Macaca mulatta: one gene and its partners. The main gene of each other region encodes a partner of the protein of the gene in region 3 in a complex. Links are inferred from orthologs where the notes say so. Each region holds a gene or a part of one and is shown on either strand. Other genes may lie near its edges.

Region 1 (4,739 bases), on a different chromosome or scaffold from region 3:
CAAAAAGTTAAATTTAGAATAAACGGAAGTACTATGTTACATCGCTGAGCAAAGTTTAAGAACTTCAAAAAGGTACCAACAACTGAAAATGTTACTATGAAAAGAGGTAAAGATAAAATAGTTAAGTACAGAGTAACTGAAAGTGTCTCACATTTGTATTTTTTTTTTTAACATCTTTCACAATTAGGAAGAATCATAATAAGCTACCATTTTTGTTAATCAAGTATTGGCAATTTTGTAAGGTTCAACCCCATATAGTCCATTGACCCATTACAGGTTATCCATAGAAAAAAGCAACATTTTGGAGGTTTCTAATCTCTTGAGATTGCTGTTTGTAAGGGCAACTGTCTCTTGGTGGAGATAACTTGCTGACACAATAATCTTCACTGAATGGATCAAGAGTATGTCATTTTTCAGGTTCTTATGTTACCATAATGAGAGGCCAGGAGAACTGGGTTCTAGCTTTACCCTTCTGTCAGTAAATATCTGGAGACTGAAACATTTTGAGTCACTTTGGTTCTTTTTTTCAATCAAAAACCAAAACAGAACAAAACCTAAGTTGGGCTGGATTATCTCTAGGATGCCTTTCAGTTCTAAAAGGTTATGATTTAAAATAAACATACACATTTACGCATTTGCATTTTTTAAAAAATAGTTCCTATGGGAAACTTAAATGTAAAAGTATGCCAAGATAAAGGTTTCAGTTTTAAATGGCCTGGTTGTTTTTTAACTACTGTTTTATTATTGTTTAATACCTCCTGATTCATACTGGCACTAGTAAATCTTATAGGTCAACCACTTGTGCATATTGCAATTTCTAGATATTCAGAATTTAATATTAAACAAACGAGCTACTAAAGGCTAACACACACATTAGCTGGTGAATTGGAAGGGTTCTACATAAAATCAAAACTAAAGTTTACTAATATTGTTGACCAGAGTCTAAAATGGCAGACAAGTTGAGAAAGGCTTAGGTAAACATCAGGACTCAAAAGTTGACTGAATATTATATACACAACAATTTCCTGGAATTGACAGAAAAACATCTATTTCAATTTGAAATGTGACTCAATCATCTGCTTCTGTGGGTTAACTTACAACTAAATCTGCAATTTTTAGCAATTACAGTGGCATTTGATATGACATTTATAATACTGCTATAAATCATTTTCTCATATTCACTGACATAGACATGTCTTAGAACTATTCTGATACAATGCTTAGAATACTGAAAGAGCAGTTTTCAAGAACATAAAATAGCACCCACAGTTTAAACAAATGTACTGAAGTTTAAGCAAAGTTAAGACAGAAAATAGAACTACCATTATCTACAATACCCAGGTTACATTTTCAAATTACCACCAAGCTAGATAATCAAAAGGACAGGGAAGTATTGTCAAAATATCTTGCAGGGAATTACTAAGTGAAACTAAGCCAATGCTAAAACACTAAGTAACGGTGGCTTTTCCCTTCACATATTATAAAATATTCCTTAAATGGATGTCATCTAGAAACAATATGCTTGTGAGTACATGATACAAAGCATACACCTGCAGTCAACAGTTAAGTTAAAGGGTTCATAGAGACTGAAATGGGCCAATATTATTGTGAAGAAATTACTGGTACTGCCAATACTACGTAAATTTTTAAAAACTGTCCAAAGTCTTTCACTTATGTGTAATATTATTGCCAATTATAATTTACACAAGCCAGTGTTACTAGTGTTTGGCCACATCTTCAACCAGTTTCTAAATTAAAAAAAAATAAAATCAGATCGGTAACAATTTCACACTTAAGTTTTCTACATTCCACAAAAGGGTATTTTTGTTCAAGTTTCAGGAGTCTTTCAGTCACCAATAGTGTTAGTAGCGCTTTCTGCAATGGAGTACCAGAAAGCAGGCTGGCTACAACTGTTCATTGTCCTGTTGAAGTAAAGGGAAACATCTCCATAATTACTGAAAATGCTTGTAAGATTTAATTCTCCAATATGGCCACACCAAGTTTGCTGACATTCATGTTCACCAAAACATGTTTATGCATACACTCTTCCCTGATTATAGTTGTAACTGAGAGACTAAAAGGCCTCTATCCAAACAGAACCATGTTCAAATTAAATTACTGTGAAGTGTTTGAGGATGCGGGCAGGCAATTAAAGACGGTTAAACACGATTATAATCTAATGTAAACAAGACACAAGACCCCCACCCCAGTGAAACACGCCACCATACAGGCTTGCTGCAGTTACACTAGTATCACGTTAACCCGAATCATGAAGTCTTACCTTCAAAACAGTTTCATTAAATAACTAGGAATGTGTACACGCACTTGACACCATATAACGTACTATGATAAGCAGCAGGAGATATCCACTGCCACACTCTGGGCCCTCGCTCCCTGCCCCGCACAGTCTGGATCACTGCTGGGTTCACCCTCTTTTTATTCTATCCACTTACCAAGAAGCACAGCTGTGGCCAGTTGTGGATAAAATATCTATAGGTATAAATGGAGTAGGGTTCGGACAGATCTTTGGTGATCAGTCTCATGATATCGGGCATTTGTAGCTCGGATTCATATCGGACATATCGTATCGTCCGATCCTCTCCAGGCTCAACCTCCCTGCCCGAAGGGCTTCTTAAGCTGCAGTCGGCGGTCAGGGACGAAGACAGCAGCCGCACCTGCTCGTCTTCCTCCTCTTCCTCCTGCTCGGTGCCCTCGGCCAGTCCATTGCGGGCCGCCGCGGGATCGCTGGCCGCCGCTGCCTCCGCCGGGCTGGGGACCGCAGTTCTTGCATTATTAGAGAGGGAGTGAGGGGGCCTCTCGCCCGAGTGTACCCCGGCTCCTTTTGTTGCAGTCGCTCTGGGGCCTCCGTCAGGGGTGGCCGTGGTCGCGGCCACCTCGGCTACGCTCAGGACCTTGCTCTTGAGGGAGGCGGCCGCCCGGAGGTGCCGCAGTTCGGGGCTAATCAATCCGTTGAGCTGCTGCTGCTCCTGCGGCGGCTGAGGGCAGCGGAGGCACGGATGCCCCTTGGTCGCCACAGTCGCCGACTCCCCGCCCGCCGGGCTCCTGCCGCCGCCGCCGCCTTCGTGCTCCTCGTCGTCCTCCTCGTCCTCGCTGCAGCAGGCGAGGGCGGCCCCCGCCGGGAAGGGACAGTGGGGCTCGGCCGCCGCCGGGGCCGGAGGTGCTGGTGGTGGGAGGAGGCTGCTAGGCCCAGGCGGTACCTCCGCCATCCTAGAAGCGACACAGACCGAGAGGGGAGGCCATGAAACCCGGCCGAAGAGCGCGGAAAAGAGGGGGCGGCGGGTGGGGGGCGGCCGAGGTGGGGGGAACAAAGACAGAAACCGTCCCTCACGGAGCTGCCCCCCCAATTCCGCGCCACCCCCCCCCGCTCTTCAGCGCCGCCCAGCTGCTCAACCGGCCACCGTCCCCGTCCGCCCGGGCCCACCCGCCAGCCCTGTCACTCGCGGCCCCTCCCCGTCCCCTCCTCGCGGCTCACCCCGCACGGGTCCCCGCCGCCGCTGCCGCCACTCCTCTTCCTCAGCCACTGCGGCCGCCTCCTTCGCAGCCGCGGCCGCCTCCACAGCCTCCAAGGCTCTCACTCAGCCGCCGTCGCCGTAAAGCGCCTCGGCTGTTACCCCGGGTAAAGTTTCCTGGGCCTGGCTTTACGACACTTCCCTGCCTGCCGGCTGCCCCGGCCAAGAGAGAGGGGCGTGGAGGGAGGTGACCTGTGGAGGGGCGGGGACGAAGGTGTCTCCTGCGGGCTGCGGGGAAGGCCGCGTGGTAGTGGGTGGGGCTCTGGGGCCGGGAAGTTGCAGAGGGCTTTGGAGTCACAGCCTCCCAAACCCTTCTCCTCGGTTCTGGGGCGCCTCAACCCGTGGTGCTTGCCACGCGGGGCCGGGGAGGGATGTACCGGGCAGGCGCTCCCTGCTTCAAGTCTACCGTGCACTGGGAGCTGTAGCGAATCTCGCCAATTCGGGGCCTCTGGAACCAGCCGTTTACAAGTCACCTAAAAATGCCTTTTTAAAGCTGCACAGCGTTTAATGTTTGCCCTGACCAGGGGCAAGGAGGATGGGGGAGGAGCGATTAAAAATGGAGCAAATCAGGGAAGCCGACCGAAAAGGAAAGGAAGCTTTGAGCTGTGAAAATATGGGGATGGCTGTCGAAACGTGGTCGTTTGCAGTTTGAATTAAGTTCAGCTGGCCCTTGCCACTTAGCGGCAAGGGAATCAGCCCTCTTCTCTCTCCTTACTCTGCTCCTCGCGCCCAGTAAAATTGGAGGCAAAAGTGACTGACAGGTGTTGGGCAATTGCGAGCACACCTGGGGAAGGGTTAGAGCGAGATGGTGAAAGACTGTGACCAGGGCTAAGAAGCACAATCCTAAACTTGTGACACAAATAGGTTAGGAAGAATTCACTGGTAAACAGGTGGCCTGATCCTCCCAAGGGATCTGCCTATTGAGTGCAAAGGGGATAGAACTTGAGCTTGTGACTGGGCTCCTTCTGCTCTAGTCCACAGTTGACTCCCGGCAGGTGTGAGCTGAGACAGTGTATGTAACCCGCACACTGAACAAATTCGGTTGTGTTAAAAACCTGATTTATACAGCTGGTTTGGTGTGCCGCAGATGGACGTTTGCGGTATATAATTCTATGACGGAACATGTTGGCAACTTTTTGCAATAATCTAAACTCTACGTATAAAATAACTATTATGCTCATAGATTCTGTGGCTCTGAAATCCAGACAG
Region 2 (3,752 bases), on a different chromosome or scaffold from region 3:
GTGGGTGTTGGTGTGTGGTGATGCTGGCGGTGGGGTCTATGGGCCACAACTTCAACCCGCCTGGGCTGTTTCCACCCCGTGCACAGTATGGCTCGGTCGGCTTGGGCCTGACGCCTCTTCTCCCACAGTTCCTGCGCTCCCAGGCACCCCCTTGCACCGCGCACCTGCGGGACCCCGGTTTCACGGCCCTTCTGGTCACCGGATTCCTGCTCCTCGTGCCGCTGCTCGTGCTTGCTCTGGCCAGCTACCGCCGCCTCTGCCTGCGCCTCCGCCTAGCCGATTGCCTGGTGCCCTACAGCCGAGCCCTTTATCGGCGTCGGCGCGCGCCGCATCCGCGGCAAACCCGGGCCTCACCAGGGTCCCAGGCCGTTCCTACATCAGGAAAGGTCTGGGTCTAATGACCCTCGAGTCAAGAACAACCCTGACGGCTGCCCTCCTTCTTACTCGGCCCAAGGACTTGAAGCCCGGCATCTTCCGACCTGCCCTGCCCCCACCCCTGCCTGAGCGGAGTCCTAGCATCCCCTTGGGAGCAGCAGCGTCAGTGGACCCAATGCTGAGGAAAGCCCCCACATCCCGGAAAACCCACTTTCCTTTCACTACCCACATCTCAATCCTGAACATCTGGGCTGGAACCTGCACACCTTCCCCTCAGCCCCGTCGTGAATGGGACAACAATCTCGTGCCCTCCTTTTAAGGTGCAGCTCCTCCAGTATTTCCGGGGCTGGGGGGCGGGGCTGGAGGGGAAGGAGTGTCCACGCATCAATAAAGATTTAACGAACTCAACGTGCTCTGCAAACACAGGAGTGGCACAAGTACTATCACCCCTGCCCTGTGCCGAGGAACAGGAAACATGTGCCAGGGCCACAAATGAGCAGAGAGGAGCATCCTTCAGCCCCCTGGCCTTATCGCTTTTGTCCGTTCTTCCTGGCCAGAACTCAGAGATCTGTCCCTGACCCCAGGCACCTCCCCATCAATAGAGTGGAGGGGGCCCAGCCTCGGCCGCCTGCCCCTGCTCCCCTTGGGGACCTGAGCCCGTTCTCTGACCCCAGCTTAAAGGAACTCGGTGTTGCCAGGCCGGGGTGGGAAACAATGGGCCTTCCGGAGCAGGATGACACCCCCTCCCGCCACAATTCTGGAGCAGCAGCGTGGGAGGGAAGATGCAGGGGCCCACCCTGGGGCCTGTTGGTGCATCATTCAGCCCTGTCCCCCATCTCTACCCCTGAACTTGAGAGAACCTTTGGCACCCCTGGACATCCCGGTTGGTAGAGGAGGGTTGAGGGTGCTCCCGACTTCAGATGAGTCCTTTCCTCTAGGGGTGGGGTGTCCTATCCCTGTACTGGCATCCCAGCTACACACAGACACAGGTCCATTCGGTCGTAAGTTTAATGAAGTCTGAAAGGTATGCGCCACCGTGGTCAGAGATATGGAGGCCCGGTCAGACTCTCCCTCTGCACCTCAATGGAAACGATGTGGTGTCCGGGTACCATGGCCAAGCCCAGCACACGGGGCTCCCCGGCAGAGAAGGAATCTGGAAAGAAGGATCAGAGGATCAGGGAAGCAGGCCGGCATCAGTACCGCCCCTCTGAGCCACAAAAACGAGCCCCAGAAAACAAGGGCTGCAGCCAGGCCCTGAAGGGGAAATGCCTTGCGTAAGGTTCCGCCACATTTCCAGGCGGGTGTGCATTCCCCAGGCACTGACCCGACGGCTTGAGGAACTCCTGCGCCGAGCCCAGGATGACATTGCAGTCACGGTCAGTGCAGAGGAAGCAGCCCACCAGTGTCCGTCCATCTGTCATGCGAATGCGCATAGTTTTGTTGAGCAGCGCCTCTAGCTGCTGCCGGGCGCGCGCAGCCGCCGAGTCCTCGCGCTCTCCGTCCGAATCCTGCGCGGGGTGGAACAAGCGCTCAGACCGCGCAGTCCCGGCTGCCCGCCCGCGGAACCACAGCTCCCGGCAGCCCGCGGGGCGCTCACACAACGCCCAGAGGCTGCCGGGAGCTGCAGTTCCCCCACCCCCTCCATCTTGCTGCTCGACTGCCCCTCAATCCCAGAACCAGAGCCCGTGCTAACCCCGGCGCTGGAGCTGCTCTGACGCCGACTGCAACAGCCATTCTCTTCTCGTAGCAGCATGGTCGGTCCAGCTCCGGCCATTTGCCCGGAGGCCTCCTCTGGGCCTTTCAACTTCCTAAGCACCTTTCAGGTTGGGTGGTCCGAGATCTCGCGAGCGCTCCCGACCGCTTTCCTTTCGCGAGATCACCTCTCCTCCACCTCCTAGTCTCCTCGGCAACGGCAGAGATCTCGCGAGCTTCTCCTACTTCTAGCGCTGTGGCTCACTGAAGCGTACCACGCCGGATGTCTTACGATATCGCGAGACCTTTACCTCTACTTTCTTACACATCCTTTAGAAACTCTGGAATTTAGCGAGAATACACTCTCATACTGCCTCCTCCCTTGTTTTTCTGTCTCAGAGAGATAGTCTGTCATAAATATCCCATGTAGCCCAGGCCGCTAAATTAAAACGGAGCGTATTCGTTTTCTGCCCACCCCCAACTCCTGAAAGCGGCGCAACTCAATTACTTGATCCTTATATGCCCCGTGTGGGACTCATACTACATTTCCCGTGAACACGTGCGGTCCAAGCCTCACCTCCTGATATTTATCTCAGTGGACGGTGGCCGGAAAAGGACAATGGTTTCCATGTCAGCGGATAAACGCTCTCCCCTCGGCTCCCGGACGCGACGGAGGTCGTAGTAGTAGTGAGTGCGTGCTGAGGAGCAAAGGAGTAACCAAGAGAGCCAGTGACTGACAGAGCAAGAGCCATGCCGCGCCGGGGCCTGGTGGCTGGGCCAGATTTGGAGTATTTTCAGCGTCGCTATTTCACGCCGGCGGAGGTGGCCCAACATAACAGGCCCGAAGACCTCTGGGTATCTTACTTGGGACGCGTGTACGACCTAACGTCATTGGCACAGGAATACAAGGGTAAGGGTCACACGTTGGGCCGGGGCCGGAGTGTGTGTGTGTGTGTGTGTGTGTGTGTGTGTGTGTGTGTGTATGTGTGTGTGTGTGTGCGGGCGCGCGCGCGCGTCTGCCTGGTTCTTGAAGGGCTGGCATTGACCGTGGCTGCTCTTTTCAAGGGAACCTGCTGCTGAAACCTATAGTGGAAGTTGCAGGCCAGGACATCAGCCACTGGTTTGATCCAAAGACCAAAGACGTGAGTTATGCTGAAATCTGGGGTTGTGGGTAGAGGCAATGGAGAGCGGGGATGGGAAGGAAAAGCGGAGGCTAGCCAGAGCATAATGACTGCTCTGATCCCCTCGCCCCAAACCCTCCTTTAAAGATCCGCAAGCACATAGATCCGCTGACCGGCTGCCTGAGGTACTGCACCCCGCGGGGTCGCTTTGTGCACGTTCCGCCTCAGCTGCCCTGTTCGGACTGGGCCAACGATTTTGGGAAGCCCTGGTGGCAGGGGTCGTATTATGAGGTGGGGCGGCTGTCTGCCAAGACCCGGAGCATCCGCATCATTAACACACTCACGTCGCAGGAGCACACACTGGAGGTGAGAACTGGTGACAAGGAGCAGGTTAGAGGGAATGGGGAATCCCAGCAAATCTCCAGGCCGATCTGCAGGGCAACATTTTTTTCCATAACCAGTGGGAGTGTATTTTCTGCCCTTTACATTGAGGCAACTGAGGAAAGCACAGCACCTAGGTCCCCAGGGTTGGTAATTCTAGGAGTGTCTGGGTCACACGGGGAC
Region 3 (4,544 bases):
GTAGCTCCTCAAATGTTTAGACTCCCCCTTTATATTTTCTTAGATGGTACATATCATTTTTAAAACGTGTCTCCCCTATCCCTCGTCCAGGCACTCTGCTTCCCTCCAAGGAAGGAAACAAAACTACCAATTCTGATATTATCTTTCTAAAGATATTTTATACTCGCACACATACATATAGGCTTCCCTTGCCCCCTTTGATTGAAACTGCACCATATTATGCATATTAAAGTGCGCCTTTCTTTTTAGATTTCTTAAATCATACGGAGCATTCCATCACAGTACGTAAAGAGCTTCCTCATCCTCCTTAAGGCTGGGTAGTATACCACTGTATGAATGTATCATCATGTATCAGTCCCCTGTTGATGGATACTGTTTCTTCCTGCTTTTTGCTATTAGAAATCCTGCTGCAATGAATACTCTTATGTTCATCACTCTCACTTCCTGTATGTGTTCATGTATCTATATAAATCCCAAAAAGCAGAACTGCTGGATCTAAGCATTAATGATTTTTGACAAATACTGCTAAGCTACCCCTCTGTGGAAGTGGTCCCAAGATATACTTCCCAAAACAGTATGTGCGCATTACAGGTAACTTTTAGAAAATAAATGTATTTCAATAAAATTAGGGATATGGTAAATTATTAAAATACCAAAAGCCTGAAACAATTTTTTTCCCCAAGTTTATTTTGATATCTCAGAGTCTTCAAAAGCAATAGCCTTTATTTTAAATGGTCAAGTGGAATAAGGTGGTTTCTGTGACAACTGGCCAGGTCATTTTTCATATTTATGTAAAACTTAGTTACGTTTTAATAATTTTGTTTTTTTTTTTTGAGATGGAGTTTCGCTTGTCGCCCAGGCTAGAGTGCAACGGCACAATCTTGGCTCACTGCAACCTCCACCTTGGGGTTCAAATGATTCTCTTGCCTCAGCCTCCCAAGTAGCTGGGATTACAGACAGGCATGCACCACCATGCCCAGCTAATTTTTTGCACTGTTAGTAGAAACGAGGTTTCACCACGTTGGCCAGGCTGGTCTCAAACTCCTGACCTCAGGTGATCCACCCACCTGGGCCTCCCAAACTGCTGAGATTACAGGTGTGAGCCACCACGCCCGGCCCCCTTAACAAACTGATTAAACCAGAAATGTTTCAATGCTAACATTTTGAGCTATGAATCAGATCAGTCTGGATCTTATGCTTATCCTTTTTACTTCATGACTGTGAGTCATAATTTGTCTTTGCATTGACTTCTAAATTTACACAAAGCAGGTATTTACATCACCTCATTCTTAAAATAACTTGAAGTCTGACAAGGTTAGTTTGACAAAACTATCCAAAATCTTTCACAGAAACATGACAAGTTATATTCACTAACACTATTAAAGTTCACTTTCATAATTAACTTTCATCCAGCAGTAAGAGATGTATTTCCTGCCACGCTTTTCCCTTAAAATTACTGTGAATCCAGTCTTACCTCATGGTCCGGGTTAGGAATATTTTCCAATATCATTTTTGCCTGCTGAAAGTGCTTACTAGCTGCCACATACAATTCAGGAGACTGAGGAGGAGGGCTATATTTATTGAGGTCAGACATTTCCTAAAAAGAAGGGGAAATATAATTCAAAACATGTTTAATATGAACAACTCTAAACTCCCATTTCTAATTATTAAAGAATTCTACATTTTCTATCCACTCATATACAGACACTGGGGCAAACATTTGGCACATCTCCCTATTTTTCCCTAGGTAATATGTAATTCTCAACCCTCATATGCTACCTCACATTATTCTTACAATTTAAATAACTGTAAATTTAACAAGATGGCTAGGTACAAACAGCATCTCTCTAAGAAGGTCTAAGACTGAAGATTTCTGAACGATTTCCTTGAGCAGGTTCACCTTGAATTGTAAGTAATGCACGGGCGGCGGGGTCATCACACTGTTGAACGGAGCAAACCTGTGCTCATACCGAACTTGTTCACTATCAAGCTCAAACTTCGGTTTACGTACTTTGCCATCCATGTCAAATGCAACCATGGTCTAAATGAAAAAGGGAACAAGAAAAAAGATGAAATCAATATGAAAAAAGCGAACACTCTCATCAATACGGAATAGAAGACAAGAAACAGCTATTTAAAACCTTCAAGTAAACGCTTCTGAAAAAATGAGGACATATAATTGTCATAAGCACAGGTCCTATTTTCAAACAAAGTCCATGTTTTGCTTTATGCATTTTCATGTAAGTTGCCTCAAATGATTTCTTGGACTGCCAAGTACAACTTAAGAGTTAGTACCCACTGCCTCTTGAAAAGGCCTGCTTTTGCTTAAGTCATTGGTTGTGGAGCTCACCCTCTTCCAAATACACTCCTAAAAAACCTAACCTCCATCTCTTCCAGGAAGCCTTGCCTGATCATCAATCATTAGTACTCTCTGCCTTTTCTTACTACCTGTCACAGACACATCAACTGGTCTGTTGCTACAGACTTGAAACAAGGACCATATAGAATTGGTATCCCCTGCAATGTACTCAGTACAAAGTATCTCACACATAGCAAGGGTTCAAATGGTTGTTGAACAAATTAATGATAATAAAGGTAATCCTCAAGCAGATAAAGTAAAACAAAGGTGAAATTACAATCTGGAAAGAACCACAGAAAAGAGTTTAAATAAACTATATAATAGACATACAGCTAAAAGGTAAAAAGAACTTTACTTTCAACAACTTACTTTAAACATCCCAGCACACATGTTCTGATATGCTTGGCTCATTGTGATCTCTCGGCTCAAAGGGCGAACTGTAATTAGAAAGAAAAACATAATCTTCCATAATCTCTTCCTCCTTCCTCTTGCATTATTGGAAAAGAAAATCTAATTTTAAAAAATCTTCCAGCTTGTATACTAAATTAAAACTTCAGTTTGTTCCTACAGGTTAAATGTTATTTATGGTCAAAATCTACAAATAATAAAATATAATAATCATGTCCCCAAATAGCTAATACTATAAAATTCCAGTATAAAGTAATTATAACTTTTCTGAATTCACCAGAGATTTAACCTTTTAAAGGAAACCCATGAATACAGTGATTTAATGACCCCTCCAAATTGCTTTAAGTCCTGAGGAAATATGAAACAGTATTTTACCATAATTGTAGCAATATCTATAGCCTTCCCTAAGTGATCAATAGGGCAGTCCCTTTGAAACAGTTCTCTGTCCTCATGGTTCTTCAAGGCACCTTTTGGTGCCCACTACCACAGCACAGCTCCAGAACTACTGCCCTCCTGAGCTATCAGGCTCTGTCAAAAGGTCCATGGCCTCCTGCTGTCTTGTCCCCTAACCTGTATCTTGCTTGCACACGCCACGTGGCTACTTCTTGATCAAAGATTCTGATAGAACAGCAAAGAAATGAAAGCAAGGAAAGGAACCAAAAAGCTTATGTCATTAATACTGGGACTCAGTCTCTACCTTATAGTTTCTGAAAAGAAAAGGAACAAGAGCTAAAATATAATGACTAACTCACAAGTAGCTCCATCTATTTATTTGTAGAAATTAAAGTACATTCTGTTTTTAAGTTTAAAAATAATCCACAGCACCTTTCTTTTTTTTCTTTGTTTTTTTACTACTACGGCCTTTCTGCTGCTCTTCCATTATCCTTTCCTCTGCCATTTGAGAGCCATCTGCACGACTCAATGTTGACATCAACCATGCGTAAAGGAATTCAGAGAGATACCTTAAAGGATACAAAATGTTAGTTAATGGTAGATGTCTAAATGAGACAGCTTTATCAACACATATATTAACAACAATAGACACTTCAAATAATGCTTTAGGTCTTTAAAAACAGATCATTCGATTATAGATCTTACAAGAAATGAACACAAGGATCAATTTTCCCTTTCAACATTTTACAACTTTCCAGATTTCCTGATAATTATACATGTACATATGCAAATCAAATGAATACCCATTAAGTTTTCATTATATCAGAACACAGTTCAGTTCAGTCTATAAATATTTTAATCACAAATAAAATCAGAAAAAGATAAAAAATTATTGGCATTATACAATCATTCTTAAAAATTAAGAACATTCACATTTACAATTTACTTGAGTTTAATAAACAAAATATAAAACAGAACATTCTACCAGACACTAATTTTTCAGAACTTTAACACTGCTAAGCCAGAAAAGTCTTCAAATCTAGGAGACATATATATATACACACACTTCGTAACATAATCAATAATAGTAAGACCTATAATTACATATGGAGAGTAAACAATTCCTGGCCCTGAATTTAAGAAAAACATTTACTATAGTACCCTTTTACAGTATATAACTGAATTTTGTTTCCCTGCCACCCTACAAAATGTGAGAGTCCGTAACAACTCATATACCTTAATTCAAGTGAAGGATTTCTATAGGGAACTGACGGTGCCGTCTACCTTCTGTTTATCTAACCTAAGGACACATGAGTGAAGGGGACAACTAAGATGCAGCCTTTTCCTCTCAAATATCAGGTACCTCAATGATCTATTAAGTGCT

The links.
Region 1: the proteins of NAA35 (region 3) and NAA30 are in contact, whole or in part, in a cryo-EM structure (PDB 7MX2), measured with the Homo sapiens proteins. The link is inferred for Macaca mulatta from reciprocal best matches to the Homo sapiens genes NAA35 and NAA30. Residues at the interface, in NP_001308810.1 of Homo sapiens: Leu45, Gly46, Leu48, Leu56, Ala59, Met60, Ala62, Glu64, Lys69, Glu121, Phe313, Pro314, Arg315, Ala444, Leu510, Glu511, Leu512, Glu517, Pro605, Lys606, Phe607, Glu608, Leu609, Asp610, Val614, Arg615, His618, Arg619; in NP_001011713.2 of Homo sapiens: Glu221, Pro238, Ser240, Tyr242, Thr243, Arg245, Tyr246, His249, Asn250, Lys304, Ile324, Glu334, Asn335, Leu336, Gly337, Val339, Arg340, Asp341, Lys342, Arg343, Phe345, Arg346, Tyr347, Tyr348, Leu349, Leu359, Trp360, Leu361, Arg362.
Region 2: the proteins of NAA35 (region 3) and NAA38 are in contact, whole or in part, in a cryo-EM structure (PDB 7MX2), measured with the Homo sapiens proteins. The link is inferred for Macaca mulatta from reciprocal best matches to the Homo sapiens genes NAA35 and NAA38. Residues at the interface, in NP_001308810.1 of Homo sapiens: Val30, Asp31, Ile32, Thr33, Phe36, Ala39, Cys40, Leu43, Leu45, Glu47, Leu48, Leu49, His50, Asp51, Phe54, Glu58, Ala59, Ala62, Ile63, Glu64, Met65, Met66, Ala72, Gly73, Met74, Gln306, Arg307, Leu309, Pro310, Pro311; in NP_001307854.1 of Homo sapiens: Ala41, Arg42, Leu45, Glu46, Leu48, Leu49, Arg61, Phe67, Leu68, Cys69, Thr70, Asp71, Arg72, Cys74, Ile77, Arg97, Val98, Leu99, Gly100, Leu101, Ala102, Met103, Val104, Pro105, His108, Ser111, Ile112, Glu113, Val114.

What each region holds. Positions count from the first base shown.
Region 1 is NC_133412.1:130,499,530-130,504,268, reverse strand, and holds the start of NAA30 (N-alpha-acetyltransferase 30), read right to left. Parts: upstream 3,592-4,739; 5' UTR 3,494-3,591; intron 3,229-3,493; 5' UTR 3,228-3,228; coding exon 2,454-3,227; intron 1-2,453. UniProt on the Homo sapiens protein: Catalytic subunit of the N-terminal acetyltransferase C (NatC) complex. Catalyzes acetylation of the N-terminal methionine residues of peptides beginning with Met-Leu-Ala and Met-Leu-Gly.
Region 2 is NC_133421.1:9,360,621-9,364,372, forward strand, and holds NAA38 (N-alpha-acetyltransferase 38, NatC auxiliary subunit), read right to left. Parts: upstream 2,246-3,752; 5' UTR 2,150-2,245; coding exon 2,069-2,149; intron 1,884-2,068; coding exon 1,675-1,883; intron 1,534-1,674; coding exon 1,416-1,533; 3' UTR 1,370-1,415; downstream 1-1,369. Other genes in the region: TMEM88 (transmembrane protein 88), read left to right, coding at 129-398; CYB5D1 (cytochrome b5 domain containing 1), read left to right, coding at 2,818-2,977, 3,133-3,209, 3,336-3,752.
Region 3 is NC_133420.1:116,830,190-116,834,733, reverse strand, and holds part of NAA35 (N-alpha-acetyltransferase 35, NatC auxiliary subunit), read right to left. Parts: intron 3,730-4,544; coding exon 3,593-3,729; intron 2,797-3,592; coding exon 2,729-2,796; intron 2,042-2,728; coding exon 1,901-2,041; intron 1,598-1,900; coding exon 1,475-1,597; intron 1-1,474. UniProt on the Homo sapiens protein: Auxillary component of the N-terminal acetyltransferase C (NatC) complex which catalyzes acetylation of N-terminal methionine residues. N-terminal acetylation protects proteins from ubiquitination and degradation by the N-end rule pathway.